7 linked regions of the Macaca mulatta genome follow. The protein of the gene in region 1 binds, or shares a complex with, the protein of each later gene. Links are inferred from orthologs where the notes say so. Each region holds a gene or a part of one and is shown in the gene's direction. Other genes may lie near its edges. The genes, in order: TCTE1, DRC12, FBXL13, IQCG, IQCD, DRC1 and DRC7.

Region 1 (3,934 bases):
GTACTTGTGGGATAATTGTGAAGATCACAGACTTTACATACTACATACCGCATCGAGTATGCACACATACTGTGTATCCCAGTGATTATTATTTTTCCTTTAATCCTTACAGTTACCTAAGTAACTGTATATTAACCCTAAGCGTATTTAACTCTAAATATATTTAAGTATATAACTAAGTATATTTAACCCTACTTTCTAGATGGAACACTAAGTCTGAGAGGATTATGAATTGCCCAAGGGCATCAAGTCAGTAGAAAGTGGCAAGGCTGTGGTTCAAATCCAAGATTGATTGAAATCCTGAGTCCTTTCTAATAGACTGTATCTCTCAAACTTTCTTAACCAAGTCTAAGAGTAAGAAATGCAACTTATGACCAGGCACAGTGGCTCACGCGTATAATCTCAACCCTTTGGGAGGCTGAGGTGGGTAGATCACATGAGGCCAGGAGTTTGAGACCAGCCTGGCCAACATGGTGAAACCCCATCTCTACTAAAAATACAACAATTAGCCCAGTGTGGTGGCATGCACCTGTAACCCCAGCTACTCGGGAGGCTGAGGTAGGAGAACTGCTTGAACCCAGGAGGCAGAGATTGCAGTGAGCTAAGATCATGCCACTGCACTCCAGCTTGGGTGACAGTGCAAGACTCCATCTCAAAAAAAAAAAAATGCAATTTACATGAACACCAACATAAACATAATTTTGAAATTTATGACGTGATATATGCTGATATTTTCCTTTACATTCTACTCTATTGTATTTTTAAATGCTTCTGTGACCCATTAAATTGACTTTGCAACACACTGCTGGGTCACAACCACAGAATGGTGGCATTCTGCCTCCCAACATGAAATTCTTTCACATTGGGGCTAGCCCACCCAACCCAGCAGGGGTTGGAGCTGTGATGACCATTGAGCGGGGCCCTCCGTTAGGTCACTGAACCCTCTGCTAAACCTCCCCATGAGAACCTTGCTCACCTACACAGGCACATACACACATGTGCATGCACACACACACACATACACACACACACACAGACACACACACACATTTTCTAGAGGGGGTGCTGTTGACTGCAAGTAATAAAAAGCTTAACCAGAAATGGCCTTAAGCAGGAGGAATATTCAGTGTCTCCCACAACCAGAATTAGAGGGTTGTAGGGTTGGTAAACCCCTGGGTTCAGTGCCACCCTCTGCTCTGCCCACCCCAGCCTCGTGGCTAAGGCCTCTCTAGTGCTTCTCTCGGTCCCAAGATGGCTGCCACAGTTCTGACATCTCACATAGGGACATGCCCAGAGGCAGAAAACAGGAGAACACCTGCTCCCTTTTCTTCTCTTTTTGGAGTGAGGAGAACCTTCCCAGAAGCCACCCCCTCTCAGCTTCCCCCTCGCATCTCATTAGAGTTGTCCCACATGCCCATGGCTGAACCAAAGGAATGGAATTCTCATCATTGCCAGAGATTCATGTTTTTCAAGCTAGTAGGGTTGAGAAATCAATTTAGTGGGTATTGGCTACCATTTTTCAAATGGAAAAGAATAGAATATGTCAGCATGCGTCACAAAAAGGTTAAGTATTGTTTTGTGAAACTTTATGTTTTAGTCACATCTACATGAAAATGTGTAGTTATGTATGTCAGATCCTGGGTAGTGATGTATATGACCCCTTCCTTTGCACCCTTCTCCCAGGACGGTGGGAAGCAGCTCCTGGAAGGCATGTCGGACAACAAGACCCTCCTGGAATTTGACTTGCGCCTGTCAGATGTGGCCCAGGAAAGCGAGTACCTCATTGGCCAGGCCCTCTATGCAAACCGAGAAGCAGCCCGCCAGCGGGCCTTGAATCCCAGCCACTTCATGTCAACCATCACTGCCAATGGCCCTGAGAACTCTGTGGGATAAAATGACCTGACTTGGATCATGGCCCCAGCCCTGTCCCTCATTTCATACCCCTGCCATGCCTGCTGCAGACTATCACTCTGGTTCAGAGGGAGCAGGGAGGGGGACCGTGAATATCCTTGGAGTGATCAAGGGTTGTATGGATGGAGACATGAGGCAGGAAAGGGAGACTGGCATGGGGGAAGAAAGGGTATGCAGTAGGAACCCAGCCCCTGTGCCCAGGGAAAGGATATTACTGAACCCCCACAAATGACCAACTTCTTCCAGGAATAGGGAAGTCAGAGAGGTGTGTGAGGGACTGTGCCTGCCAGATTCTCCCACGGGGGCTGCCTGCCTCCCTGACTCCCCTCCCCACCATTTTCTTCTCTACCAAACAGATCCTTGATCTTCAAACACGCACGCACACACACACACACGCGCGCACGCTCTGGCTACAGCAGACCTATGTCTGGCTCTCTTTGCCACCCTCAGCCCTGTAGATGCATTTCCCTGTTGCTTGACTCTGCTTTAGGTGATCCAGTTCTATAGGCCACTCCATCCCCTATTTCCCCAACCCCCAACCTGGGACGGGGACAACGAAATGACACCAGGGACTCAGACCCAGTGGCCTCCTCTGGGGAGGCAGCTGTAGATGACGACTTCCAGGGAAGGATGACACGATTCCTGCCACCCACCCCAGAGAGCTTCCCTGGGAGGGAGGGAAAGAAGTGCCACACTGGGACAGGAAGTCAGTGAGTCATCCACAACTTTATTATCCACCAGTTTGATTTGTACAATCTTTGCGCTTAAATCCACGACAAAAAGGCCACAGTGTGATGCACCCAATTGACAGAGACCTGTCTTCTCCCCAGCCAGGCCCAGCCCACCCCACAAGCCCTTGTCCCCAGGCCACATGGAGCCTTCTAGGTGCCCTCCATGAGTCCCCATCACTCTGTAGCTGTCCACCCTGGGGCCACACCTACAGGAATCACATCAGCCCCCAGGACCACAAGAGACCTAGCTGACTGATTCAGGCTGAGCGCCATTCCCCATCCTCCTCAGGCTGATTGATTGGCCCAGAGCCTCCAGAACTGTGTCCCCAAAGGGCAGGTCATGGGCTACAACCCCAATCCAGGAGTGCCTGCTCTCCAGGGACTCCTTCCACTAAGCAGACGCTAAGCAGAGCACCAAAGGGGGCTTGGGAGTGACTGCATGTGTATGCCTGTCTAGGCAACCTAGAGTCTGTGTGCCTGACACCCTCTGACAGTTCCAGAGTGCAAACGTGTAGGTGTGAGGGTGTGTGTGTGTATAGCCACAGCTGCTAGCAGAGGTTCTAATTAGAGAAACAAGAACATTCAGTGTAAAGTTTAATTTTAGAGATTAATTTTCTGGTTTTTGTTTTCCCTGGCAATCAATAAAGCTACCAAGAAAATAGACCAAAGAATTGGTTTCTCTCTAAGTCTGTGCGTGTGTGGGAGATGAGGCTGTCTGAGACGACCTAGGCAGAAATGGTCAATACAGGCAAAAATAATAATAGAGGTCCCCCCTTCCCCTCTTCTGAGACCAGGCTCTGTCTCAGGAACAGGCCTGAGGGAGGAGGAGCCATGTTCCTCCTCCCCTGGAGCCCTGAGGTGGCCAGGCTGTCCCCACACAGAGCATGACATCCGGGTGCCAGCTGGCTAAGAAATGGAGCCTGAGGCCGCAGCTCACCACCTGTACCTCACAGATGTCCATCAGAGGAAAGAAGGGTGCTCCAAATGCCAGGCCCCCAAGGAGCACAGACTCGGGATCCAGGCAGGTTCAGTGCTGATAGGCAGGTGGGCACTACTGCCAGGGAAACCTGGTGGGCAGCCGTTTCCCCTGCCCAAGCCTCTCTCTCTCTAGTCTCTTCTCCCTCCTCACTCAGCCATCTCTACCTGAGAGTAAAGCTAAACCCTTTAGAAGCCATGGGCCATGGTATCCCCACAATTTGGGCCCCTCTCCCTAGGAAGAAGGGAAGGGGAGCCAGAGGTGATGTTGCATAGGTGGAGGCCACACAGTTGGTGGTGCAGGCCTGGCTGGGCTG
Region 2 (4,107 bases), on another chromosome or scaffold:
GCGGATCACGAGGTCAGGAGATCGAGACCATCCTGGCTAACATGGTGAAACTCCGTCTCTACTAAAAATGCAAAAAATTAGCCGGGTGTGGTGGCAGGTGCCTGTAGTCCCAGCTACTCGGGAGACTGAGGCAGGAGAAGGGGGTGAACCCGGGAGTCGGAGCTTGCAGTGAGCCAAGATCGCACCACTGCACTCCAGCCTGGGCGACAGAGCGAGACCCCGTCTCAAAAAAAAAAAAAAAAAAAGAAAAAGAAGAACCAAGAAGGCCTTTGTGCTCCTGTTCCACTAGACCAAGTAGAGTCTTCCCCACCCACAACTTCATTTCCTTTCTCCATCGCTCCATCTCCGACCTGGGTCCCTGGCGGCCTACTGCCCCCACCCCAGAGATGAGTCGCCAGTGCCATGCCCTGCAGGAGGATATGCAATCCCGCAGCAAGCAGCTGGAGGAAGAAGTCAAGGGCCTTCGGGGGCAGCTAGGTAGGTTTCCCCACCCCCCAAGCCCCTTGTCTCCAAGAGTTGCAGCAAGGGCCAGCATGAAGGGGCAGACTTCAAAGTCTCTGCTCCAGAAAGCTGCCACCCGGGCTCTGGGATCACTTTCCCCACTTTCACTGACCCTCCACCATCGAGGACTGGAGCAGAGGGTTCGGGATGCCAAGAATCTCTGTTGTAAGTAAAGAAGAGGTGCCAGGCGCAGTGGCTCAGGCCTGTAATCCCAGCACTATGGGAGGCCAAGGCGGGCGGATCGCCTGAGGTCAGGAGTTCGAGAACAGCCTGGCCAAATGGCGAAACCCTGTCTCTACTAAAAATATAAAAATTAGCCAGATGTGGTGGCGCACACCTGTAATCCTAGCTACTCGGGAGGCTGAGGCAGGAGAATTGCTTGAATCCGGGAGGCAGAGGTTGCAGTGAGCCGAGATCGCGCCATTGCACTCCAGCCTGGGCGACAGAGCAACTCTGTCTCAAAAAAATAAATAAAAATAAAAAAGAAGAGGTAGGCGTCACACCCCATTTCCTCCTCTCCAAGTCCAGCCCTACCTAACTCCCCACCACTGCCATGTCTCTTGTGAGCAAAACATATTCCCTTTTAGTTTAGCTGATTTCTACAACGAAACTAAGGGAAAATGTTTGACTTATTTACTTACAAGACCTAGCACCCGGTAGGTCCTAAATAACTGTTCACTAAATAAATGAATAAACACTCCCAATAAGCAAAAATATTTTTAAAAACTAGGAAGCCATTGCTTCTCTTCTCTTGCCTCCTGCTTACAAAATAATGTTGAAATATCTCAGCATGACACATGAGCTCTTGCACAATTTTGGTCCCAAAGTGTTCATACCTTAAAAATGCCTTCAGCCGGGCTCAGTGGCTCACCCCTGTAATCCCAGCACTTTGGGAGGCCAAGGCGAGAGGATTGCTTGAGGCCAGGAGTTCGAGACCAGCCTGGCCAATATGGTGAAATGCCGTCTCTACTAAAATTACAAAAATTAGCCGGGCATGGTGGCATGTGCCTGTAATCTCAGATACTTGGGAAGCTGAGTCAGAAGAATCACTTGAATCCAGGACGCGGAGGCTGCAGTGAGCCGAGATCGCACCACTGCACTCCAGCCTGGGTGACAGAGTAAGACTCCGACCAAAAAAAAAAAAAAAAGCCTTTGGTTTAGCTATAGATGGCCAGGAGCTGCTTATCTGCCATTCAGACCCTGGGTTCCTTTCCTAATCTTTGCTTTACCTCAAATTCCAAGTCAATCAATAACTCAATTGTTTTTGTTGTTGTTGTTGTTTTTTGTTTTTGTTTTGTTTTGTTTTGTTTTTTTGAGACGCAGTTTCGTTCTGGTTGCTCAGGCTGGAGTGCAATGGCGCAATCTCGGCTGACAGCAACCTCTGCCTCCCAGATTCAAGCCATTCTCCTGCCTCAGCCTCCCGAGTAGCTGGGATTACAGATGTGTGCCACCATGCCTGGCTAATTTTTGTATTTTTAGTAGAGATGGGAGTTTCACCATGTTGGCCAGGACTCCTGATCTCAGGTAATCCGCCCTCCCCGGCCTCCCATAGTGCTAGGATTACAGGCGTGAGCCATCACACCCGGCCAATGAATCAATGTTTACGGAGCACTTCCTGTATACTAGCTAGGTGCTTTGTCATCCATCATCGTGTTTAAAGGTCACAGCATACCCCTGAGAGATGTGTCATTCTCTCTTTAAAGATGAAGACACCAGCTAGCTGCGGTGGCTCACGCCTGTAATCCCAGCACTCTGGGAGGCTGAGGTGGGCGGATCACGAGGTCAAGAGATAGGGACCATCCTGGCCAACATGGTGAAACCCTGTCTCTAATAAAAATTAAAAAATTAGCTGGGCGTGGTGGCATGTGCCTGTAGTCCCAGCTACTCAGGAGGCTGAGGCAAGAGAATTGCTTGAACCCAGGAGGCGGCGGTTGCAGTGAGCCGAGATCATGCCACTGCACTCCAGTCTGGTGACAGAGTGAGACTCCATCTAAATAAATAAATAATAAATAAAAAGATGAAGACACTGAGGCTCAGAAAGAGACATGTCTGTGGTCACCTAGGTAGTAATCCGACTTTGGAGCCTTCTGTCTCAAGCCCACCATTCTCTGCTACACCTCAGTGGAGCTTCAGCTTTTACAGGGACTGCAGGAAAGTTGGTGATGCTGGGGGAGTCTGGAATGAGCCCATTCAAGGTCTCCTTTCCAGATACCTTTGGAGACTGGTCAAGGATAGAGTGTCACCATCCTGCTGTCTTTCATCCTGCCTGCCCCCAGAGGCATGCCAAAAGGAAGCTGCGGCTGCCCGGGAAGAGGCTGAACAAGCTCTAAGAGAGCGGGACCAGGCCCTGTCTCAGCTTCGGACCCACGTGGCAGACATGGAGGCAAAGTATGAGGAAATCTTACAGGTAAGCACCACCTCCTGGATCCCAGTCATCCCAGTACCCAGGACTCCCCCATGCCCACAAACCCCAGCTAGTGTGATGACTGACAACCCAGGGGTAAGGAGAAGAAGTATCTCCAAGGGAGCCCCGCTCTATCCTGAGGGCAGAGAGGGGATACAACCATGTCTACTGGGCAAGGAAAGCTTACAAACCAACCTGGGGCAGCCCTCACTCCTTCCCTGTCTCTTCCTGGGGGCTGAAATATTGATGTCTGCAGGACAGTCTGGACAGGCTCTTGGCCAAGCTGAGAGCCATCAAGTCACAGTGGGATGGGACGGCATTGAGACTCCATGCCAGGCACAAGGAGCAGCTACGCCAGTTTGGACTCACCGCCCTGGATCTTTGAGGCCATCAGCCCCTAGTCTCTAGTGTTCTCTGAGGCGCCAGCAATAAAGTGTCTTGATGTAGAACTCAGTAGAGCTGTGGGCTCTGGCCTTTTGGCAGAGAGGAGTGGATCTTTTTTATTTTTATTTTTATTTAGTTTTCTTCTTTTGTTGTTTTTTTCTTTTGTTTTGTTTATTTTTAGGAGTGGCTCTCATGCAGACATCTCAGTTCTGGGTTGACCCATTATCCCTGAGACTCAGTGATAGGAAAGAAATTTGACCAGGTCTCACCTTTTCTCCTGCAGAAGCCGCATCCCACCCCTTGAGCCTGAGGCCCTTTTGGTCCCTTCACACCACTGCCCCTTACCCCCACCAACACAAACACAGGCAGTCAGATTTATGGGGAACGGCCACTTCTATAACAAATGCAACGGTGACCAAGCACCACCCTCCGGCAATGCTGAGGCACCCACAGAAGACAGGCATAGCTGGTCTCCACATTTTTGCATTACACTCAAGTGTCCTGGAGTCATATCTAGAAAAGGTCCAGATGGCTTCAATCCTAGCCAGACCCACAGCCACACCTTCATCCCTGGGACACAGCTCTCCAAACTCCCATATGACATCCTCTGGAGCCTCAGACTCCTTCAGGAACCTGCCTGAGGCCTCCATCCACACCCTCTGCTAGAAGGTGGGCCTGCAGGAAGTGGGGGAGCACCTGGGCCAGCCTGTGATCGGTGGTGCCTGAGTTCCTCCAGTCTGGCTTAGAGAGAGCAATCCTGCCTCCACCACCTCGGGCTGGAGAGTGAAGACACAGTAGCCCCTGAGTATGTCTGTACC
Region 3 (3,964 bases), on another chromosome or scaffold:
AGACCAACAATAGCACACACGCAGCAAAAGAGTATGAGGAGATTTATTACTTATGTATGCTTAAGACAGTGCTAGAGCCTGTGCTGAGTTTTAAGCATCTCAGAGGTTACTTGAGATGCTCTCCAGAAGTTTATAATGTGTAGGTTTTGAGCTGATGGTCTTGTATGCTGTCCTGTAGGCTTTGCCTTTTGCACACTACCTTTTCAGTGTTACCAGTGAAACAGCTGTACTTTGGGTACCTAACACTATATTAGTCTGCTCATTCAGTGCTTTCCACCACTCTGTATTATTAAGCTAGTGTTTTGATCACTGCCCTCTATGCCTGATCACTGATTGTCTAATAGTGAAATAGGTAACAGTACATGACCAGTCCACCCCTGTACACCTGCTTCAGCTAAACATCCCTGAACATAAAAATTAGCCAGGCATGGTGGCAGGCCCGTGTAATCCCAGCTACTTGGGAGGCTGAGTCAGGAGAATCTCTTGAACCCTGGAGGTGGTGGAGGTTGCAGTGAGCCGAGATCACGCCACTGCACTCCAGCCTGGGCAACAAAAGCGAAACTCCTTCTCAAAAAACGAATAAACCGAAAATCCCTGAGAGCAGGCAGTGTTGTTCTCTTAGTAGTCTCTGAATGCTGAGCATGATGTTTTGCACACAGTTGATATATATTAATATATATAATGTATATTGTATATACTATAATATTGTTAAGATATATGTGTATTATATAGTTAATTGTGTGTTTAGAGAACATTTTTTCTAGATACATGATTTATTGACCTAACAATCATTCTACATTCCCTTAAATGGAGTGAGGCTGGCAGGGGTATGCTGGGAGCAGAGGCAGGGAACACCTGTGTGTCAAGCGCTCCACATGTGTTCTTCCTCAGGCTCTAATATGTGTGTGTATATACACACACACACATACATACACACATATATATTACATTAATATATATTACCCCAATATTGTGTGTATATGTTTATGACTGAAATACTTACTACCTTTGTTTATTACACAGTTTTCAGAAGTGTATCAAGAGTTAAAATGGGGACTTCCTGTGATGATAAATTTGGCAATTTCCCAAATACATTACTTCTGACTTCCCTTTTTTGTTATCCGTATGTTAATCACCTTCACTCCATGCACCAATTACCAGTTTTATCATTGCCAGAGCCTTGACTTTGTGGTCCTCACTTCCTCATCTGTGAAAGAGGGGACTAGATCAGCCTTTCAAGGTGGCTGCCTGTGCCAGTGTTTTATGACAACTAATGGAAATGATCTGTAATACTTTGGTGGTTCAGGGAACGTTAAACATGCTTATGAAAAATTATAGTTGTGTAGTAATGATGACAATCATAAATAATGTTTAATTTGTTCTATTCTTGTGTCAAGCACTGTGCTTTATGTCTGTCATCTCTCTTGATCGTTACAGCAATTGCATGGAATTTTAAAATTATTTTCATTGCAGATACTAAAACATGAACTTCAATTGAAAAAATGGAAAAATAGGTTAATACTCAAAAGAGCTACTGCAGAAGAATCCAATTTTCCTGAACAAAGTTCTTCTGAAGGCTCTCTTGTAGATGAGACTCTAAAATGTGACATTTCACTGTTACCTGAAAGAGCGATATTGCAGGTTTGTATGAATACACTATACATTATATACTATAATCTGCCAGGTGTGGTGGCATGTGCCTGTAATCCCAGCTACTTGGGAGGCTGGGACAGGAGAATTGCTTGAACCCAGGAGGCAGAGGTTGCAGTGAGCTGAGATGGTGCCATTGCACTCCAGCCTGGGCGACAATAGCAAAACTCAATCTCCAAAAAAAAAAAAAAAAATATATATATATATATATATATATATATATATATGTATACATATAATCCTACTGTTGATATATTGCATTCAGTTAGAATAAGGTTATTTTTGCCCATTATTTCTTCCTTTACAAATTACCTGTTCCTATCTTGTCTGTTTTTACATTGTAATTCCTATAATTTTCTTACTGGTTTGTAATAGCTCTTTATATTGGCAATATTAGCCCTTTGGAATATATTTGGAGATTTTTTCCCCTACACTTGATGTTTGCTTTCAGTTTTGCTTGTGGAGTCTTTTGGTGACAGAATTTTTTTTTTTTTTTTTTTTTTGAGATGAAGTTTCACTCTTGTTGCCCAGGCTGGAGTGCAATGGCGCAATCTTGGCTCACTGCAACCTCCGCCTCCTGGGTTCAAGCGATTCTCCTGCCTCAGCCTCCAGTGTAGCTGGGATTACAGGTGCCCACCACTACGCCCAGCTAAAATTTTTTCTATTTTTAGTAGAGATTGAGTTTCACCATATTGACCAGGCTGGTCTCGAACTTCTGACCTCAGGTGATCCACACACCTTGGCCTCCCAACGTGCTGGGATTACAGGCATGAACTACCACGCCCGGCTGATGACAGAAATGTTAAATCTTTGTGTAATAAAGTCTGTCATCCTTGCCCTAATTATTTCTCTCTCTGTCTCTTTTTAACTTTTATTTTAGGTTCAGGGAGTACACGGAAAGGTTTGTTATATGTAGGTAAATCGCGTGTCATAAGAGTTTGGTGTACAGATTTATTTTGTCTCCCAGGTTATAAGCCTGGTATTCAATAGATACTTTTCTGATCCTCACCATCCTCCCACTCTCTACCGTCAAGTAGATCCTGGTGTCTGTTCCTTTCTTTGTGTCCGTATGTACTCAGAAGTTTGGCTTCCACTTGTAAGTGAGAATGTGCAATATTTGGTTTTCTGTCCCTGTGTTAGTTTGCTTAGGATAATGGTCTCCAGCTCCATCCATGTTGCTGCAAAGGACATGATCTCATTCTTTTTTATGGCTGCATAGTATTTCAATGTATATATATATATACACACCACATTTAAAAAAATCCAGTCTACTGTTGATGGATATTTAGGTTGATTTCATATCTTTGCTATTGTGAAGAGTGCTGTGTTGTCCATATGCATGAATGTGTCTTTATGGTAGAATGATTTATATTCCTTTGGGCATATACCCAATAATGGGATTGTTGGGTTGAATGGCAATTGTGTTTTATGTTCTTTGAGAAATCACCAAACTGCTTTGCACAATGGCTGAGCTAATTTACATTCCCACCAGCAGTGTGTAAGCATTGCCTTTCTCTGTAACCTTGCCAGTATCTGTTATTTTCTGATTTTTTAATAATAGCCGTTCTAACTGGTGTGAGATTTACATTTCTCTAATGATTAGTGATGTTGAGCATTTTTTCATATGCTCATTGGTTGCGCACATGTCTTCTTTTGAGAAGTGTTTGTGTACTTTGCCCACTCTTTTAATGGTGTTGTTTTTTTCTTGTAAATTTAAGATCCTTATAGATTCTGGATATTAGACTTCGGTTGGTGTGTAGTTCACAAATTTTTTATCCCATTCTGTAGGTTGTCTGTTTATTCTGTTGATAGTTTCTTTTGCTGGTAGAAGCTCTTTTGTTTAATTAGGTCCCATTTGTTAATTTTTGTTTTTGTTGCAATTGCTTTTGGCATCTTCATTATGAAATTTTTGCCAAGTTCTATGTCCAGAATGGTATTTCCTAGGTTATCTTCCAGGGTTGTTATAGTTTTAAGTTTTACATTAAGTCTTGAATCTATATTGAGTTGATTTTTGTATGTGGTGTAAGGAGGGGGTCCAGTTTCAATATTCCGCATATGGCTAGCCAGTTATCCCAGTATCATTTATTGAATGAAGAGTTATTTCCCTGTTGCTTGTTTTTCTTGATTGTGTAGATGTGCGGCATTATTTCTGGGCTCTGTTTGTCTATTATTTCTGGGCTCTGTTTGTCTGTTCCATTTGTCTATATTTCTGTTTTTGTAACAGAACCATGTTGTTTTGGTTACCATAGCCTTATAGTATAGTTTGAAGTTGGGTAATGTGATGTCTCCAGCATTGTTCTTTTCACTTAGGATT
Region 4 (4,412 bases), on another chromosome or scaffold:
GTATGCATGTAACATTTTGGGAAATTACCATAAAAATGAGTGTCTTTAGATTTCTGGACTGAACTGAACGTGTATGTATCAGCATGCAGCCCTGCCCCCAGGTACTCTCCCTCCTTTTCTCAAGGAATATGGATTATCGTGGACCCACCTCTGACCTAAATACTGTGAAGGAATCAAAGTATGAAACACAAACCTCATCCCACGGAACCTTACAATTTAACTGCAAAGGCAAGATACGCCTAAAAAAAATAAGCCATTACCACATAGCAGTACTTGGTTAAATGCTAGGAGGGAGTACAGATACGATGTACTTTTTAATGAAAAGAACATTCCGCTGTGGGAGTTTCGGCAGGCTGCCTTGAGGTTGGGGAACTTGAAATGAGACAAAGTATTTAAGCAGGGAGAAAAATGGGACGGGAGGCCGGCAGGCACTTCCAGAGCAGAGGAATCGGGTAAAGCAAACAGAGTGACGACACAACGTGAAAAGAAACCTGAAGTTTGTCTCCAGTGAGCCCCCAACATCCCCCCAACGCCTCTGTCTGGCTCTCCGTTCAGTATCTTCCCGAAACTTCAGGTCAGCGGTTCCTAAAGTGGTCCCCGGACAAGCATACATCACCAACCAGCTGGGAACGTAAACTGTCAATCTGGGGACTCATCCCAGACCCACTGAGTCACTAAGTGGGGGACTGGGGGCGGCAATCTGTGTTGGACCGTGTGCGTCGGGTGACTGTGATGCACGCTCAAGTTTGAAAAGCACTCCTCCAGGGCTACTGCTAAGCACAACCCTCCGCACCGAAGTGATACTGTTCTGAGCGCCTAACAGCCAACTTGCAGGGTGTAGGGAGCTGAGAGCGGGTCCCAGGCCTGTAAGAGTTCAGGCTCTGCCCCGATTTCGCTTTCTCATCCAGGACACCTTCTCCCAGTCACTACCTCCTACGCCTGCTCCTTCTGGACGACTTTACCCTGACAGGGCCCGCTCCCGCCCCTGTCGCCCTACCTCAGTGTCAGAGGGGACGTGGTGCCGGCAGGGAGGGGAACTGCCCAAGGAGACGGGAGTAGATGTGGCGCTGGCCCGGAGCCCGCCCAACAGGAGTAAAACGCTTCGGACCCACATAGACCCGCTCCAGCGCCACCGGCTCCGGCCCGGGCCTGAGCCTGAGTAACCCGCTCCTCCTCCCCACTCGGCCGCCATCTTCGGGCCGAGCGTCGTTACCATGGAGCGCGTGACGCCTCTGCGCCCGCGCCGGCCCCGCCCCTCGCCGCTCGGGGCAGACGGAGGCCCCCGCCGGCGGAAAGGTGCTTTCCGATTGGACAGCGTCACCCGCTGGAAGTTCGCGGCAGAAGATGAGGGCGGCGATCACGTCCATCGCGTCTCGTTGCGCGAGGCCGGCCAATAAATGCCGTTTGGAGGCCCACGTGAGTGGGGCTGTGGGAGGAAGAAGGGCGCGCGGGCGTTGGCCGTGTGTGGGTGTCTGAGGCAGTTTTCCAGTTCTTTCGTTTACCAAAGTGATATGCACCTACTAGGTGCCAGGTGTTTGGACGGACATTCAACCCTCTGCAGAATCTTTCAGTGTAGTCCTCTGTAGGAAAAGGTGAGTGGAATACTTTCATTTACTTATCCTGAGTCACCAACTTTAGGCGCTTTACTTGACTAAAGCCATTTCCTGTAAAAATCAATGATACACACTTTACTATTTTACTCAACTCCATCTTTTAGTTTCCAACCAAGAATTGCCACTGCACCTGAGATAAGGGAGATCCTGGGAGCCGTGAGGAACTACACAAAATGGGAAATTGGGACAAATTCCAGTGGCTCATGACACTAAGAAGTAAAAGTACGAACTCAGACACTGAGCTGGAAGTCATGCAACGGGAATTGAATAGGTAAACTACTATACTGGGAAATGAAGGGGTAGGAAAGAAGGAAAACTTCAAGTTACAGACTGGGTGGAGATTACGGACTCAGATATGAGGATGGGGTGGTGTCTTAAGTATTACCATTTTACAAGTGAATAGTCACTAAATAATGTGTGTATCATCCCACAACTAGTGGAAGGTGGGATTCCAAACCACATTTGTAACTTAGGAAACGTGCCCTTTCCATTACAGTACCACAAATAAACTGCTGTTGTGAATAAAGAGTGGAACCAGTCATCCTAAGCTCCTGGCTGTTACAATAGTGTTACGCTGAGGAAAGGCTGTTTCTTTTTTTTTATTTTTGAGACTGACTTTCACTTGTCGCCCAGGCTGGAGTGCAGTGGCGCAATCTCGGCTCACTGCAACCTCTGCTTCCCGGGTTCAAGCGATTCTCCTGCCTCCGCCTCCCGAGTAGCCGGGATTACAGGCGCCCGCCACCACTCCCGACTTTTTGTGTTTTTAGTAGAGACGTAGTTTCACCACGTTGGCCAGGCTGGTCTCAACTTCATGACCTCAGGTGATCCGCCCGCCTCCGCCTCCCAAAGTGTTTGGGATTACAGCCATGAGCCAAAGCTGTTTCAATGGCATAGTGAACAAAATACCAGCCACGCAAGCCCTTTCCTGTAAACCACGGGACTTTGGCAACGGTGACTTAAGTACTTTTGACTTAATTTCGGTATGGGAGCAGAAAAAATTATAAATTTATTATTTACAAATGCTGCATCATCTCGGTAAGGAAGAGCATGTATTTGCTCGAGTCTCATTTGCCATTGCACATATAAGTTACTCGAGTTACCCTAAAGTCTCAACCTTTTGTTTTCCCCGCTTTGCTCAGATGCCTACCACTTACTGTGTAAGCACCTCCATTCCTTTCATCTATTCTACTCAGAATACCATTCACTTCTCCATATGCCTAAACCAGACCTGAAATACCCATCAGTCTTCATGGATATGTCGATTAACATCTTACCGCCTCCTCAAATTCAACTTTTGCTCCTCCCACAAAACCATCCCCTGGTTCCCCAGCTTTGCAAATGCACCATTACCCATCCAGCCCCCATAGCCAGAAACATGTTAGAACGTTAGCCATTTGAGACTGAAAAGCCCACCTGATTTTCCCTTGTTTATACTGGGCTGCCACTGGGATGTAAAATGTTAATCTGAGCTGGACATGGTGGCTCACACCTGTAATCCCAGTACTTTAGGAGAACAAGGCAGGGGGATCACTTGAGGCCAGGAATTAAGAGACCAGCCTGGGACCCCGAAAAAAAAATTTAATTAACTGGATGTGGGTGGCATGCACATGTAGTCCCAGATTCTCTGGAGGTTGTGGGCAGAGGATTGCCTGAGCCCAGAAGTTCAAGGGTGCAGTGAACTATGATCACACCACTGCAGGCTGGGCAACAGAAACCCTGTCTCAAATGAGTAAATTTTAAAATTTCCTGTGAATCAAGTTCTTCAGTGACATTGTTACTACACACAAGAACAATCTTAAGATCCTCAGTACAAGAGACGTCTTATGTGGCATTTCTGAGTTTTCTGGACTTTCCAGTCAGCTACTTGTATTCCTAAAATCTTCCTGCCATTTCCTGAGATGCCTCCGTATTTCTTCTACACTTTATAGTTTTATGTTATGTCAGGATACCCACATGCCTCTATCCCTAAATACCCCAAGAGTACTGATCACATCTATTTAACTGGCACAATGAACACAATAGGTACTTTTAGCTTATATTGGCCTTTTGGAGTGGGTGTCCAAGATCAGCACTTCCTCCCGCTGACTGCGTAATTCCCAAGTTCAATTTCATCAGCATTCTAATATACAACTTCCAACTTTTGACCATGAAAAAGTATGGCTTACTTCTGGTGAATACAGCATCAATGCACTTTGTTTGCCTTAAAACCACAATCCTAATAAATGAGCCTGGCAGAGCATTAATAATAAAAGCCCCTGTCCATGAAACATGGGACTCCAACAATGGCAACTTTGGCCTACATTCCACCATTGGACTGACCGAACCTTTCTTACGACTGCCGATGTGACAGAGGGACCTCTGGGAGAGGACTTCTTGTTTTCTCTTGCGTCAGTATATCTCATTACTCTCTTAGTAGGTTAGCAGATTTGTAACAGGATGGTTACTAGAGGAAGGGGAAGCGGAAAAGCTGGGACAGTATTCCTACTCTTTTCCCTTACTACATTTTCCTTCTCAGTCCTGCCTCCAGGAGATGAAAGACCAAATAACACAACAGCCAATGTGCTCTTCCCACGCAGTCCTTTCTTTCACCCTCTTTCCCTAATACATTTCCAGCATGTTAATTCTTTTGCGGCATAGACAAGAGAACCCATACATGTTTCAAAACTGCAAAAGGGATTAGGGGGCAAACTCCCAGTTTCTTGTTGACATTTTCAGTGCAATTTAAAGATCTGTTAATTTAAAAAACTACCTGTGCTTTAGACATCAATAACCCTCGTTGGGGGGGGGGGGTGCGGGGGA
Region 5 (3,964 bases), on another chromosome or scaffold:
AGGAGAATCACTTGAACCCAGGAAGTGGAGGTTGCAGCGAGCCAAGATCGTGCCATCACATTCCAGCCTGTGTGACAGAGTGAGACTCTGTCTCAATTAAAAGAAAGAAAGAAAGGAAAGGAAAGAAAGGGTGAGAAGAAAAGAAAGGAAAGAAATGGGGTCTTACTCTGTTACCCAGGCTGGTCTTGAACTCCTAGCTTCAAGGGATCCTCCAGCCTCAGCCTCCTGAGTAGCTAGGATTATAGGCGTATCACACCAGCTAGAAGAATTTTTAAGAAGGGAAATGGGAGTGTGGTGGCTCACGCCTGTAATCCCAACACTTTGGGAGGCCAAGGCAGGTGGATCACTTTAGCTCAGGAGTTCGAGACCAGCCTGGGCAACATGGTGAAACCCCGTCTCCACATAAAAGACAAAATTAGCTGGGTGTGGTGGTGCACACCTGTAGTCCCAGCTACTCAGGAGGCTGACGTGGGAGGATCACTTGAGCCCAGAAGGCAGAGATTGCAGGGAGCTGAGATCGCACCACTGTACTCCAGCCTGGGCTACGGAGCAAGACCCTATCTCAAAAAAAAAAAAAAAAAAAGAAACGGTAGCATGATCCCAAACCTAATAATAATTGTCATATTGGACACATACAGTGTATTTGTTTTACATACATTTTCTCTCTAAATCTTTACAAAAATCCTGTGAGATGATGTGTGAGTACAGATTTGGCTGCTATAACAGAGACACCCAAAATAGCTTTGGCTTAGTTAAGACGGCAATATATTTCTTTGTAGTGGAAATACCGGAGCTGGTGTGGCATCTCTGCTCCCCAAGTTGTCAGAGATCTGGCTTCTTCAATGTGACTTTCCTGCTGACCCCACGTAGGACTTCTGCCTGTGGGCCAAGATGGCTGCTCCAGCTTTCCCCATCATGTGGCCCCCGGTCCAGCCAACAGGAAGGAGGAAAGGGGAGGAGAGGGCTTGGTTCTGCCCCTTAAGGACACATGTGGAGGTGGCACACAGAACTTCCATGCACATCTTGTAGCCACACCCAGCAGAGAGAGGTGCTAGGAAGGACCCACCACCTGTCACCGGGCCGTGTTATGTTCCACATTCTACCCCACAGCCTTTCTGGGGAGAACAGACATGGGCGGTAGCCAGGCTGCACTGTCACAGGCCCTTCTGTTTCTATCCCCCACCACTGATGAGAGGTTCAAGGTCCTGGGAAACTATTCACTACCCTCCTCCCTGGTGCTGGGTTGGGCACTTCTCATTGAATTTGTCCTTTAAAGCATTCATCTGACTTTGTTGGTAACATTCACCCAACTTTGTGGATAACATATCTGTGTGTGATATGTGTGGTCTTGAGAGGTTTGGCTCCTCCACAAGAAAAGGGGACCTTGTCTCTTTCAGCCTGCCACTGTGTCCCTAGTAAGCCTGTCCAAAGGAGGGGCATGATGTATACTTGCTGAGTGGACAGAGCACGGGCTGCTGGGCCCTCGGGCAGTGAGGTTACTTGTAAGGTGGAAGGGGCATCATCTAGGAATAGGCAGAGGGACACAGGTGGCCCTGCTGGTCTCATTCAGGTGCTAGAACCAGCTTGGGGCTTCACCTTGGACCGACCTGGGGTCAAATGCCATTTTTGCCAGGTGGACAAATTTCATGTCATTGAACCTCAGTGTACAATGAGGGGAGACACCAATCAGGCACGTGTGGGGAGTCTACAAGGAGAGCTCTGACTGCTGATCATATTCCGAGCTCCTGGTGCCTCAAGCCTTGCCTGCAGGATGGGCTTGCCCCAAAGGCGCTGCCTTCCTGCCCCCAGTGTGCAGGAGGTGAGCAGATGCCCGGCAGGCCTGCTGCCAGCTGACCCAAGCCCAAGATGGTGACGTGAGCAGCCATAGCACCACTGTGCTCAGAGGGAGACTCTAGTGTATATGAGAAGCCTTGAGGGCTTCTTTACAAAACTGTCTCATCCTCCACCCCCATTCCTGTTCGAGAATCCACCCAAGGCAGGGGACAAGCCAGGCATAGGCCCTCAGGAGAGAGCCTGGTGGTGATCCCTGCAGCCTGTGTTCATCGCACACCTTCATGCACCCCACCAAGTGTCTCTGCCAGCTGGGCCTCCCCTCCTGTGTCCCCAGGAGGAGGATCACTGCTGTCCCGGTCCTCCCCGGTGGCCTCAATCCAACAAGCTTGTACCCTTCATTTGTGCAAGGAAATAGAAAGTGGTGGCCAAGAACGTGGGCTCGAGGTCAGACAAACCTGGCTTCAGGACCCCATTGAGCTGGGCAACCCCAGACAGATGAAGCCACCTCCTTGAGCCTCAGCTTTCTTGTCTGTAATCAGGCTGTCCCTGACCTCCACTGCGGAGTTGGGGGTGTGATTAGAGAGATAATAACCCAGGTGGCATGCCTGGCCCCGAGGGAGGATGCAGTGGTGCCAGCCTCTGGTGACTGTCAGTTGGTATGGACGGTTTTTCTTGAGACGGAGTCTCACTCTGTCACCCAAGTTACAGTGCAGTGGTGTGATATCTCTGCTCACTGCAACCTCCACTTCCCGTGTTCAAGCGATTCTCCTGCCTCAGCCTCTCGAGCAGCTGGGATTACAGGCATGCACCACCATGCCCGGCTAATTTTTGTATTTTTAGAAGAGATGGGATTTCATCATGTTGGCCAGGCTGGTCTCAAACTACTGACCTCAGGTCATCCACCTGCCTCAACCTCCCAAAGTGTTGGGATTACAGGCGTGAGCCACTGTGCCCGGCTGGGCATGGAGGTGTTAACAGAGCCCTTTCTCTTCCTGGCTCAGGTGGAAAAGGAGAACTTTGTGATCCAAGAACTGAAAAACCACTTGCACCAGGTGCTCAAGTTCTCAGAGAACAGCCTCCTTCGCACTAAGCAGGAGGCCGAGAAGCAGCAGAAAGCCGATTTCCGGGCATCACAGGCCAGGGTAGCCAAGATCCAGCAGGAGATCCTGCAGCTGCAGTCACAGTTTTACAACCTGGTCATGGAGAACCGGGAGGCGGAGCAGGCGCTGAGGAAGGTGCCCCGGGAAGTGGGAAGCGGGAAGCAGGGAGGATGGGCCGGTGGGGCCCCTGGGGCGGGGGATGGGTGGGACTGTCCCATCACTCCTGGAGGTCCAGCAGTGTTGGGCAGGGCAGGGCTGCACCAGCTACTCAGGAAGTGGCGTGGTGGAGGGGAAGGACACAGGAGCAGGGAAGGCCCAAATCCGAGCCAATGTCTCCTGGGAGGCAGGAAGGGGCAACACACAGGCCTGGGGATGGGGGATAGAGAAACTGGGACCCTGTCCCAGCATTGCTACATGCCAGCTTTGTGACCTTGGGCAAGTTCCTCAACTCCTCAGACCTCACAGGGATAATACCCACATCTTCAGAGGCTGGGTGCCATGCAAAGGAATGAAGAAGTAGCACATGAAGCTCAGGCAAATTACTCAACTCCTGCCCAGCTGCCGATTTCACACCTTGGAAATGAAAATGCTAACATTGGTCTTAATGGTTGTTACACGAGAATTACATGAGATGGTGGTGAGAGAGCTGGTGCATAGTAGGTGTTCAATAAATATCATTTCTGGCCGGGTAAGGTGGCTCATGCCTGTAATCCCAACACTTTGGGAGGCTGAGGTGGGAGGATCACTTGAACCCAGGAGGCGGAGGCTGCAGTGAGCTGTGATCACACACTGCACTCCAGCCTGGGCAACGGCAAGACCCTGTCTGTACAAAGAATAAAAGATAAATAAGTCAGGCGCTGTGATGTGTGTCCCAGCTACTTGGGAGGCTGAGGCAGGAGGATCACTTTAGCCCAGGAGTTTGGAGGCTGCAGTGAATCATGACTGCGCCACTGCATTCCAGCCAGGGCAAGAGAGTGAAACCTTGTCTCTTAAAAAAACCCAAAACCTTCATTTGCCTTCTCCTTCATCATCTCAGCCAAGACCCAGGCCTAGCACACACCCAACTTCTA
Region 6 (3,964 bases), on another chromosome or scaffold:
TCCCTGCGGTGGTGATGTAGAATATTCTTGACTAATTCCCCCATGACAATGTGTGTGGGAATCACCGGATTCCACAGCAACCATGGAAATGATGTGCTTCCTGACCCAATGGAGCGTCACCTCCTAGCCAGGAGCCCTCCTGGAGTATGACCCAGAGTGGGCTGTGATAGCTGCTTGGAATCACTTCCTCTGTTGACTCCTGGGCCAGAGTCTGTAGCCTAACAGAGGGAGACGGGACAGAGGCTGGAGACAGCACGCACGTGGCAGTTTTATCGAGTTTCTGATTCCACTTGATTGCCTTCCCCATTCCTGCATTTCACTCGGGAGAGGCAGGAGCATGCCAGCCTCCAGCCTTGCCTCTCTCTGATCTTTTTTTCACAAACTGTCAGGGTGATCTTTCTACAGTGACTGGACCAACCATTTTCCTTCCCTGCTTAACATTTTTAGTGGTCCTCCCTTGACTTCAGGATAATGCTTTAAATTCCTAGCTTGGGAAGGCTCTGCTGCTCTGTCAGCCTCATTTCTGACCATTCCTTGCCTCGTGCCTCACATCCTAAACTTCTTGTGGTTTTCCCAAAGCCTCATATATGCTATTTCCTCTCTCTAGAGTGCTCTCCCTTCCGGTGTCACCTGTGTAACTCCAGCACATTCTCTAGGTCTCAGCTAGACACACCATCTTCCAGGGATGATTTCCCTGGTCCCTCAAGACCAAGGACAGTGCTCTTGTCATTGGTCCCATAATGGTCTGGGCTTCCCTCTATCTTGCCTCTTATCCCTAGCGTTTGTTTATCTGCCTCTGTTCTAGACGGGTCAGGACTATGCCTTTCTCACTGGTGTTTTCGCAACGGCACCTCAAAAAGTATCTCACACAGATTAGGCACACAATAAGTATTTGCTGAATGAATGAATACAGCTAATGGAAATCCAAAAAGTAAGGATGACTGTGTCTGTCCTTTTAAATGAACCTGGGTTGCTAAACACTAACACTTCCACCCTGGAAGGTCAAAGTGGGGGAAATTTCAAGTTTTTGTGGCCGTATTTATTTCTATGGTGTTTTTAGCGGGGCTACTCATATTTCTGAAGGGTCTGGAGAAAGTTACCGGAGTTAGTTGGACTTGAAAGCTCTGTGATCTTTCTTAGGCGTTAGGTATACAGATTTTAGTTTACAGTTCATTGACTTGTATTTTATCTGGTTGACCTTTAACTTGACTCTCATGATAGATTTTCTAAGAATGCAGGCTGAGGCACTTGTCCCTAAGGTTCCTCTGACATGACTTGAACAATTTATCAGAAGCCTACAAGCTAGGGCCAACTAGTGTGTGAAAATATATATATATTTGTATTTCAGAGCATACCTTTATTTGTGTACAATTTTAGGTATAATTCACAGGGCAGATAAGCTTATAAATGTAGGAAAGTTTATTTTTGTATACTTCCAGTATAAACTTCTACCAATACTTTTACCTCTTTATTCTTTATGAATGTAGGTACAAAGATAAATACATCTGAATATGGAGATGCATAGTTAGGTAAATAAACATACATAAGCAGGACTATGTAAGTATATCTATGTAAATATTTACCTATACAAAGCATGTTCCCCAAAAGACATTTTAAATACGCTAGTGTATATAATACTAAGGATGCAGGTGTAGAGTTAGTGTGTGTGTGTGTGTGTATATATATACACATATACATAGATATATATATAGTTTTTTTAAAATTTTAGATTCTTGAGCAGCAGCTTCAGCAGAGGAAAGCAATTTATCAACTAAACCAAGAGAAATTAGAGTACAACTTGCAGGTGCTGAAGAAGAGAGATGAAGAAAGCACAGTGATTAAATCCCAGCAGAAGAGGAAGATCAATCGGTAAGCTAGCATGCAGAGCGTCTTTCTTCTGGGCTCTCTGTGCTGAGAATAGGGATGGATATGTACTTTTTTCTATTGAAGGGGTAGAAACCATTAAAAATATAACCAACACTTATTAAAATAGTTTTTTGGAGAAGTTAATACATTCAAGTGGTTCCCCTTCTCTCCCCAAGAAAAGAGAACATAGCAAAAGATTTTCCATCCCCATTCATCTTGTTCCTCTTTCCCACCTCTATAACCAGTTTGTCTCTTCCAGAATTTCATTAGGCATATACAAGCCCACACAAATATTCTCATCCCCCATCTGCTTTTACGCAAATGATGGCAGTCTGTACACACTGCCGTGTATCTTGAAGACCTTTCCATCCCAGTTCATAGAGAGCTTTTACCGTTTGTTAAGCTGCTACGACCCACTGTATAGATACACTATGATTTATTTGACCAGTGTCTAATGATGGACATGTAGATTGCTTCCAGCCTTTTTCCCTTGCAAATAATACCAACCTAAGTACTCATGACATGTGCCAGTTTGCTTTTGTGGAGATACCATGGCTCATTGAAAGGTACCTATTGCTTGAAATTTCTCACACATCTTCCCTTCTTCCTTGTCTCCTTAGTCCCATCCTTCCTGCCTTTCTTCCTTTAGGAATTGCATTCTAAGTTTCAGACCACTGTGTTAGGCTCTGAGGACCAGAGTGGAATAAGATTTCTTGCTTGTAGAAGGAGACAAGATTGAGGATTTCCCTCCAAACCCCAAATAGCCTATTATTATTTATGAATTCTTCCACTTGTGGGTTGGTAATACGTACATTTTGGACACATGTTGAATGTATAGACGAACATCAGTTGACATTTTGGTAGTTACTTATCACAGAAAATGATACTGAATAAATGGGATGGCATCTTAAGCCTGATTATCTGAGAAACAAGAATAGTCAGGGGACAATATTTATGAAAAAATTCCCACTATATAAGCCCCATACTAGATAGGGGAACATCCAAGAAAGACACACATCAAGACAGTGAGGAGGCACCTGGGAAAACTTCCCAAAGAAGTGAAATACTGGAGGGGGTGGGGACATGAACTGGCAAAAGGCAGTTAAGAGGAGACTCCAGGTGGACAGTGCTGGCAGCTGGGAATGGCTGGTCTGAAGGCAAGGAGGTAGGATTCAGGAAGTCCCACAGTGGGTGTAGAGAACGGGTAAGGTGGGAGGCGGGAGGAGGCGCTTGAGGCAGAGCTTGGGTTTGATGCGTGTGGCTGAGAGATGAGTGGAATCTTCCCTCTTATTTCAAACTCAGACATCTTTCCCTCAGCCTGAAAAACCCTTCAACGGACCCTGCCATTTCTAAGCACCATCTTTTCATTTCTTGCTTTCATTGCCATTTTCCTTTCCTCCTCATCACCACCCAACATTTCATAATTTGACATATCTGTTTGTGCTGCTATAACAGACTACCTGAGACTGGATAATTTACAAAGACGAGTTTATTTCTCACAGTTCTGGAGCCTGGGAAGGCCAAGATCAAGGCTGGCAGGTTCAGTTTCTAGTGAGGGCTGTATCTTTCAGAGGGGAGGGACGCTGTGTCCTCACTCAGCAGAAGAATGGGAGAGCAAGCTGGCCTAAGGCTTTGGGAGGCCTGTTTTATAAGGGCCTTAATCCCATAATCCCATTCATGACGGGGGAGCCCTCATGGCCTCATTACCTCTTAAAGGCCCCACCTCTTAATATTATCACATTGACAACACTGAATTTTGGAGGAGTTACATTCAAGCCATAGCAACCTATGACCCCAGGATTGTACAAAAACTTCCCAAAGTAGGATACCAATGATGCCCTTCTAGCCAAACGTAGTGACTTCTCCTCAGGCCTCATCCTATTATGATTGGATACTGGGTTTTCTTCTTCGGTTTAAGTGACCCTAAAATATTTGCCCTTCTTTCTTAATTTATTTGTTTCCTTTGGTGGTTCTGCTTTTCCTTGCTTGATATGTCTTGAGTATCTAGATAAGGTAATCTAGAAGACCCAGGCCTTACCATTGCTTTTAATTTTTATTTCATCTGCCACACACCTCAATCTCATGGTTTTGAATATCC
Region 7 (4,390 bases), on another chromosome or scaffold:
CCGAATGCCCGTCACTGGAAGGACAAAGAGGTAATAAGTGTGGATCCACACAGTAACATGGAGAGATCTTAAAAACACAGCCCTTCATGAAAATATAAGAACCAGAAGGATATATTCATTCAGTCTCATATTAAACATATATTTAAAATACCAGCATGCAAAATAATACTCATTTTGGAAAAAAAAAATACGCATCAGAACTCTTGCCTTATAGAGATGGGAAATGAAAGTGGGTATGGAGAGAAAAAGGAATGAATAAATATGTAAAAGGAATAAAATATTGCATGGGGTTGAAAAAAGAAAATGAAGCCTATGCTGCATCCCACCAGCATAACACATCACCTGTTTTCCTTTCTCCTCCCTCCTCACTTCCCTCCCTCATCCCAGCCAGTTCCCCACAGAGGTAATTATGAGTTGCTTAGCCCCAAGTCTGAAATACACACACCCTCTGGTGAGCTCTCCACAGCGCAATTGATCCTTTACAGCTTATTTTTATGGCTGCATGATATTCAAACCGGGAGGGGGAAAATCATTCTCTATTCATGAGAACTGAGGCAATTCCTAAGTTTTTAGCGGTAACACTAACTGTGCAACCTTGTCAGCACAGTGACAGTCTGGATTCCCTCCTGGCAGCCCTATCCCCTAACCAAAAAAGGCCTGGGCACCCCTCCCTCCAAAAATAAAACAGTAAAGATTATATTTTAGAACTATATTAGTACAAACATAAATATAATTCAGGGCAGATTCATAGTTATATAGTCATTATTATTCTTATTTTTTTCTTCTGAATTTAAAAGAAATTAAACATTTTCACGAGCCACTAGCCTAATGGATAGGTTTTCCCCGTACTTCGAAGTAATGTTCTACATCAGAGCCCCGGCCTGGACTAGAACCCAGGACTCAGTCAAGGCAACGTGGCTCTGTCCACCACAGCTGGCAGCTACTCCAGGCCCCACACTGGTTTCTGTCTGTCTGGATCACGGCCACATTCGGCATGCCGTGTGGCAGGGGCTGCGGTGTGCTGGTAGATGTTTAACAACTGGCTTGCTCAGGGGAAAAGCCCTGGTCTTGGCATTTGCTAATTTTTGTGGTGTAAATAACCCCATGGCCTTTTTTTTTTTTTTTAAGAGAAGGTCTCACTATATATTGCCCTGGCTGATTTTGAACTCCTGGGCTCAAAGGATTCTCCTGCCTCGGCTTCCCAAAGTGCTGGGATTACAAGTATGAGCCACCGTGCCCAGCCCTTTTAATTTTTAATAATGGCTGTGTTTCACAACCATTTTGAAAAGGTTAACAACTAGCACGTTGATGCCCCGCTATACCAGCGCACCGCTGGCCCAAGGACCCATGCAACCTGGGAAGACTACATTTCCCAGAAGCCTCCTCTCCCAGGACCGGCCTTCAGCGTCCCAGGCTGTTACCATGGAGACGGCTAACTGCTAGCGCAGGCTGTCCTCGGAGGGGTGAGGAGGGAGCAAGGGACTTGGGGTGGTTGGACCCTGTCTGGCAGGGAGAGGGCGAGGCTGGTGGCCTCCTTCTGCCTGGGGGCCTCCAGCCCTGATCTTTCTGGGGAAGTTGTTGGGGTGTGTGTGTGTGTGTGTGTTCATGTGTGTTGGGAGGAGGAAGTTGCTGGTGGAAAGGGGGTACAGGAAAGGGCCTGTGGGTTGGGGCCCAATCTAGGGAACCTTGAGACAAGACTGCCTTCCCCACACTGGGCTATAGCTGAAGAGGCCACCTGTGTAGGGAATAAAGTGCTGTGGGTTCTTCTCCCCAGCTCTGCCTCTGATGGTGTTCTGGGACTGACACATTGGCTTTCTCTTCATCCTACTTCTTTCCTTGCCCACCACTCCCCCACCATCCCTTCTAGCACTTCCCCATCTCACATCTCTTCTAGCCTGAGATGCACAGGTTTCACAACCAGAAATACTTGGGCTCAAATCCCAGACCTGCTACTTACTAGCTGTGACCTTAAGCAGTGCACTCAACCTCTCTGGGCCCCAGTCTTCTCATCTGCAAAGCGGGTGTCCTAAGTGTCTGCCTCACAGAGTCAGTAGAGGATAAGTGAGATGATCTCCGTACAACCCTAAGCACAGGGCCTGGCACACAGTAGGCGTTCAGCAAACTGTAAGTGCCTTGTAATGGTGATGACTGCCCTCCCTGTGCTCATTCTCTCTGGGACCAAGAGGCCGATAAATGGATCTGATGACTGGGAAGTGCTGCTTGGCTAGAGGTTCTCCCCTGAGGATCTGGGGTCCTGAATGCTGTTGGCCCACCTGGGCTTGGGTGGGCTCCAGCCAGATGAGCATTCATCCCCTCCTGAGTCCCAGAACACAGAATGTCAGAATTGGACAGAAAATATCTGCCCTCCCTTCCTATTGTAAAGAGAAACTGAGGCACAGAAAGGCGCAGACAGTGACCCAAGGGTCCAGCAGGAGCTATTGGCAAAGCCAGGATTTCCCCAACCGGGCTCAGTCCTGGCTGGTGGCCAGTGACTCACCTCCCTAAGAGGCCGAGGCGGCCCGCGTGGGTGTGGTGTGGGGAATGGGGCCAGCCTTTATCTGCTGCTCCCTTCTGCCCTCTTGTTCCTGGCTTCACCCAGGGAAGTGGGGGATGATTACAAAGTCGAGGGGATTCTGCTTTTTTCTCCTCACTACTCGCGCCCTTTGTCCTGTGGGTTTCCTTTGTTTTCCTCCTCTCTGGACCCCTGTTTACTATAAGGAAAACAGATGTTGGAGGAGAGAAATAGAAAGACCCCAGCTGGGAGGCTGGATCAGCTGGGGTGGCGTTGGGCGGTGTGGATCAGGGACCCCCATAGAGGCTGACATTTCTTATATAAGGAAAGGCTGGAGGTGGCACTCCAGTCCTCTGTGGCACCACAGCTCCCCGGTCTCTTGGCCCTGCCATCCTTAGCAGGCTACTTTAGCCCTCATGTGTGGTCACCTCATGGTCTCACCTGGGCTGCCCCACCTCCCACTTTATCTCCACATTCCAGGTGGGAGGAGGAGAAGGGCAGAGGGTGCCCCGATAACTTCTGCCCACATCTCATTGGCCAGAACCAGGTCACATCACAGGGCCACCTCTAGCTACAAGAGGATCTGGGAAGCTGAGCAATTCAAACCAGGCACACTGCTGACCCCACACAACTGGGGTTCTGCCGTATAGAAGAGGAGACTGGATCTTTGGGTAGGTGACTAGCAGTACCCGCTCAGTGAGGCTCTGCTCTGTGGTCGCAGGACATATGGTGAACACATGTGGCGTCTCTGCGTGGATCACAGAATGAAGCCTGTTCTCTGGGCCGACACAGGCCTTGGCCAAGAGAGAGCAGGCTCTGTTACCCCACCCCCCACTTCCTGTTTGTGTGCCCTGGTGCACGCACCTTCACTCTCTGTGCCTTGGTTCCCAATTTGGTCAGGTGAGATATCATTCACCTGCTGTCTTCATTTTTGGGTGGGTTGTAGTCCATATTACCTTACTGTTAGGATTTTCTTTAAACCAATTTATTTATTCATGTATTTATTTATTTATTATTTATCTGAGATGGAGTCTCACTCTGTTGCCCAGGCTAGAGTGCGGTGGTGTGATCTCGACTTATTGCAACCTCCGCCTCCCAGGTTCAAGTGATTCTCCTGCCTCAGACTCCTGAATAGCTGGGATTACAGGTGTGCACCACCATGCCTGGCTAATTTTTTGTATTTTTAGTAGAGATGGGGTTTCGCCATATTGGCCAGGCTGGTCTCGAACTCCTGACCTCAAGTGATCCACCTGCCTCAGCCTCCCAAAGTGCTGGGACTACAGGCATGAGCCACCGCACACAGCCAATTCATTTATTTAAATAGGAAATGTGACAATACTATAGTAGTACCCACAGCATTAGCAGTACTTGTCATTGATAACTGTCAGCTGGCACAATGGCTCATGCCGGTAATCCCAGCACTTTGGGAGGCCAAAGCAGGAAGATCACTTGAGGCCAGGAGTTTAAGCCTGGGCAACATAGCCAGACCCTGTCTCTACCAAAAAAAAAAAAAAAATAGCCAGGTGTGGTGGTGCGTGCCTGTGGTCTCAGCTACTGGGGAGGCTGAGGTGGGAGGATTGCTTGAGCCTGGGGGTTTGAAGCTGCAGTGAGCCATGTTTGCGCTACTGCACTCCAAGCCTGGGTGACAGAGTGAGACCTTGTCTCAAAAACATAAAAAATTTAAAAAAGGATAACTGTCAAATATACTTAAAGCAAATTGACATGTGTCCTGCCCTGTCCTGTCCTGATGATGGCTTCCAGCCGGAGGCCTGCTTTGTCTTTGTTGTAAAGGAATATTTGCCAGGATTAGAAAGGTGTTACAGATGGGGTAGCACCAAACAGAGACCTTCTCCATGTTTGAAAGGAAGTCAAAGAGGG

Evidence for each region.
Region 2: TCTE1 (region 1) and DRC12 share a complex: the UniProt entries of both Homo sapiens proteins name them as parts of the nexin-dynein regulatory complex. The link is inferred for Macaca mulatta from reciprocal best matches to the Homo sapiens genes DRC5 and DRC12.
Region 3: TCTE1 (region 1) and FBXL13 share a complex: the UniProt entries of both Homo sapiens proteins name them as parts of the nexin-dynein regulatory complex. The link is inferred for Macaca mulatta from reciprocal best matches to the Homo sapiens genes DRC5 and FBXL13.
Region 4: TCTE1 (region 1) and IQCG share a complex: the UniProt entries of both Homo sapiens proteins name them as parts of the nexin-dynein regulatory complex. The link is inferred for Macaca mulatta from reciprocal best matches to the Homo sapiens genes DRC5 and DRC9.
Region 5: TCTE1 (region 1) and IQCD share a complex: the UniProt entries of both Homo sapiens proteins name them as parts of the nexin-dynein regulatory complex. The link is inferred for Macaca mulatta from reciprocal best matches to the Homo sapiens genes DRC5 and DRC10.
Region 6: TCTE1 (region 1) and DRC1 share a complex: the UniProt entries of both Homo sapiens proteins name them as parts of the nexin-dynein regulatory complex. The link is inferred for Macaca mulatta from reciprocal best matches to the Homo sapiens genes DRC5 and DRC1.
Region 7: TCTE1 (region 1) and DRC7 share a complex: the UniProt entries of both Homo sapiens proteins name them as parts of the nexin-dynein regulatory complex. The link is inferred for Macaca mulatta from reciprocal best matches to the Homo sapiens genes DRC5 and DRC7.

Annotation. Positions count from the first base shown.
Region 1 is NC_133409.1:137,835,217-137,839,150, forward strand, and holds the end of TCTE1 (dynein regulatory complex subunit 5), read left to right. Parts: intron 1-1,683; coding exon 1,684-1,893; 3' UTR 1,894-3,301; downstream 3,302-3,934. UniProt on the Homo sapiens protein: Component of the nexin-dynein regulatory complex (N-DRC) a key regulator of ciliary/flagellar motility which maintains the alignment and integrity of the distal axoneme and regulates microtubule sliding in motile axonemes.
Region 2 is NC_133419.1:119,879,169-119,883,275, reverse strand, and holds the end of DRC12 (dynein regulatory complex protein 12), read left to right. Parts: intron 1-298; coding exon of another isoform or gene 299-384; coding exon 385-477; intron 478-2,709; exon of another isoform or gene 2,710-2,777; coding exon 2,778-2,908; intron 2,909-3,161; coding exon of another isoform or gene 3,162-3,166; coding exon 3,167-3,313; 3' UTR 3,314-3,359; downstream 3,360-4,107. UniProt on the Homo sapiens protein: Component of the nexin-dynein regulatory complex (N-DRC), a key regulator of ciliary/flagellar motility which maintains the alignment and integrity of the distal axoneme and regulates microtubule sliding in motile axonemes.
Region 3 is NC_133408.1:142,725,805-142,729,768, reverse strand, and holds part of FBXL13 (F-box and leucine-rich repeat protein 13), read left to right. Parts: intron 1-1,473; coding exon 1,474-1,641; intron 1,642-3,964. UniProt on the Homo sapiens protein: Substrate-recognition component of the SCF (SKP1-CUL1-F-box protein)-type E3 ubiquitin ligase complex.
Region 4 is NC_133407.1:975,539-979,950, forward strand, and holds the start of IQCG (dynein regulatory complex protein 9), read left to right. Parts: upstream 1-1,336; 5' UTR 1,337-1,592; intron 1,593-1,717; 5' UTR 1,718-1,884; intron 1,885-4,412. Other genes in the region: LMLN (leishmanolysin-like peptidase), read right to left, coding at 998-1,216. UniProt on the Homo sapiens protein: Component of the nexin-dynein regulatory complex (N-DRC), a key regulator of ciliary/flagellar motility which maintains the alignment and integrity of the distal axoneme and regulates microtubule sliding in motile axonemes.
Region 5 is NC_133416.1:120,444,470-120,448,433, reverse strand, and holds part of IQCD (dynein regulatory complex protein 10), read left to right. Parts: intron 1-2,795; coding exon 2,796-3,029; intron 3,030-3,964. UniProt on the Homo sapiens protein: Component of the nexin-dynein regulatory complex (N-DRC), a key regulator of ciliary/flagellar motility which maintains the alignment and integrity of the distal axoneme and regulates microtubule sliding in motile axonemes.
Region 6 is NC_133418.1:98,567,161-98,571,124, reverse strand, and holds part of DRC1 (dynein regulatory complex protein 1), read left to right. Parts: intron 1-1,729; coding exon 1,730-1,869; intron 1,870-3,964. UniProt on the Homo sapiens protein: Component of the nexin-dynein regulatory complex (N-DRC) a key regulator of ciliary/flagellar motility which maintains the alignment and integrity of the distal axoneme and regulates microtubule sliding in motile axonemes.
Region 7 is NC_133425.1:53,304,393-53,308,782, forward strand, and holds the start of DRC7 (dynein regulatory complex subunit 7), read left to right. Parts: upstream 1-1,396; 5' UTR 1,397-1,463; intron 1,464-3,053; 5' UTR 3,054-3,183; intron 3,184-4,390. UniProt on the Homo sapiens protein: Component of the nexin-dynein regulatory complex (N-DRC) a key regulator of ciliary/flagellar motility which maintains the alignment and integrity of the distal axoneme and regulates microtubule sliding in motile axonemes.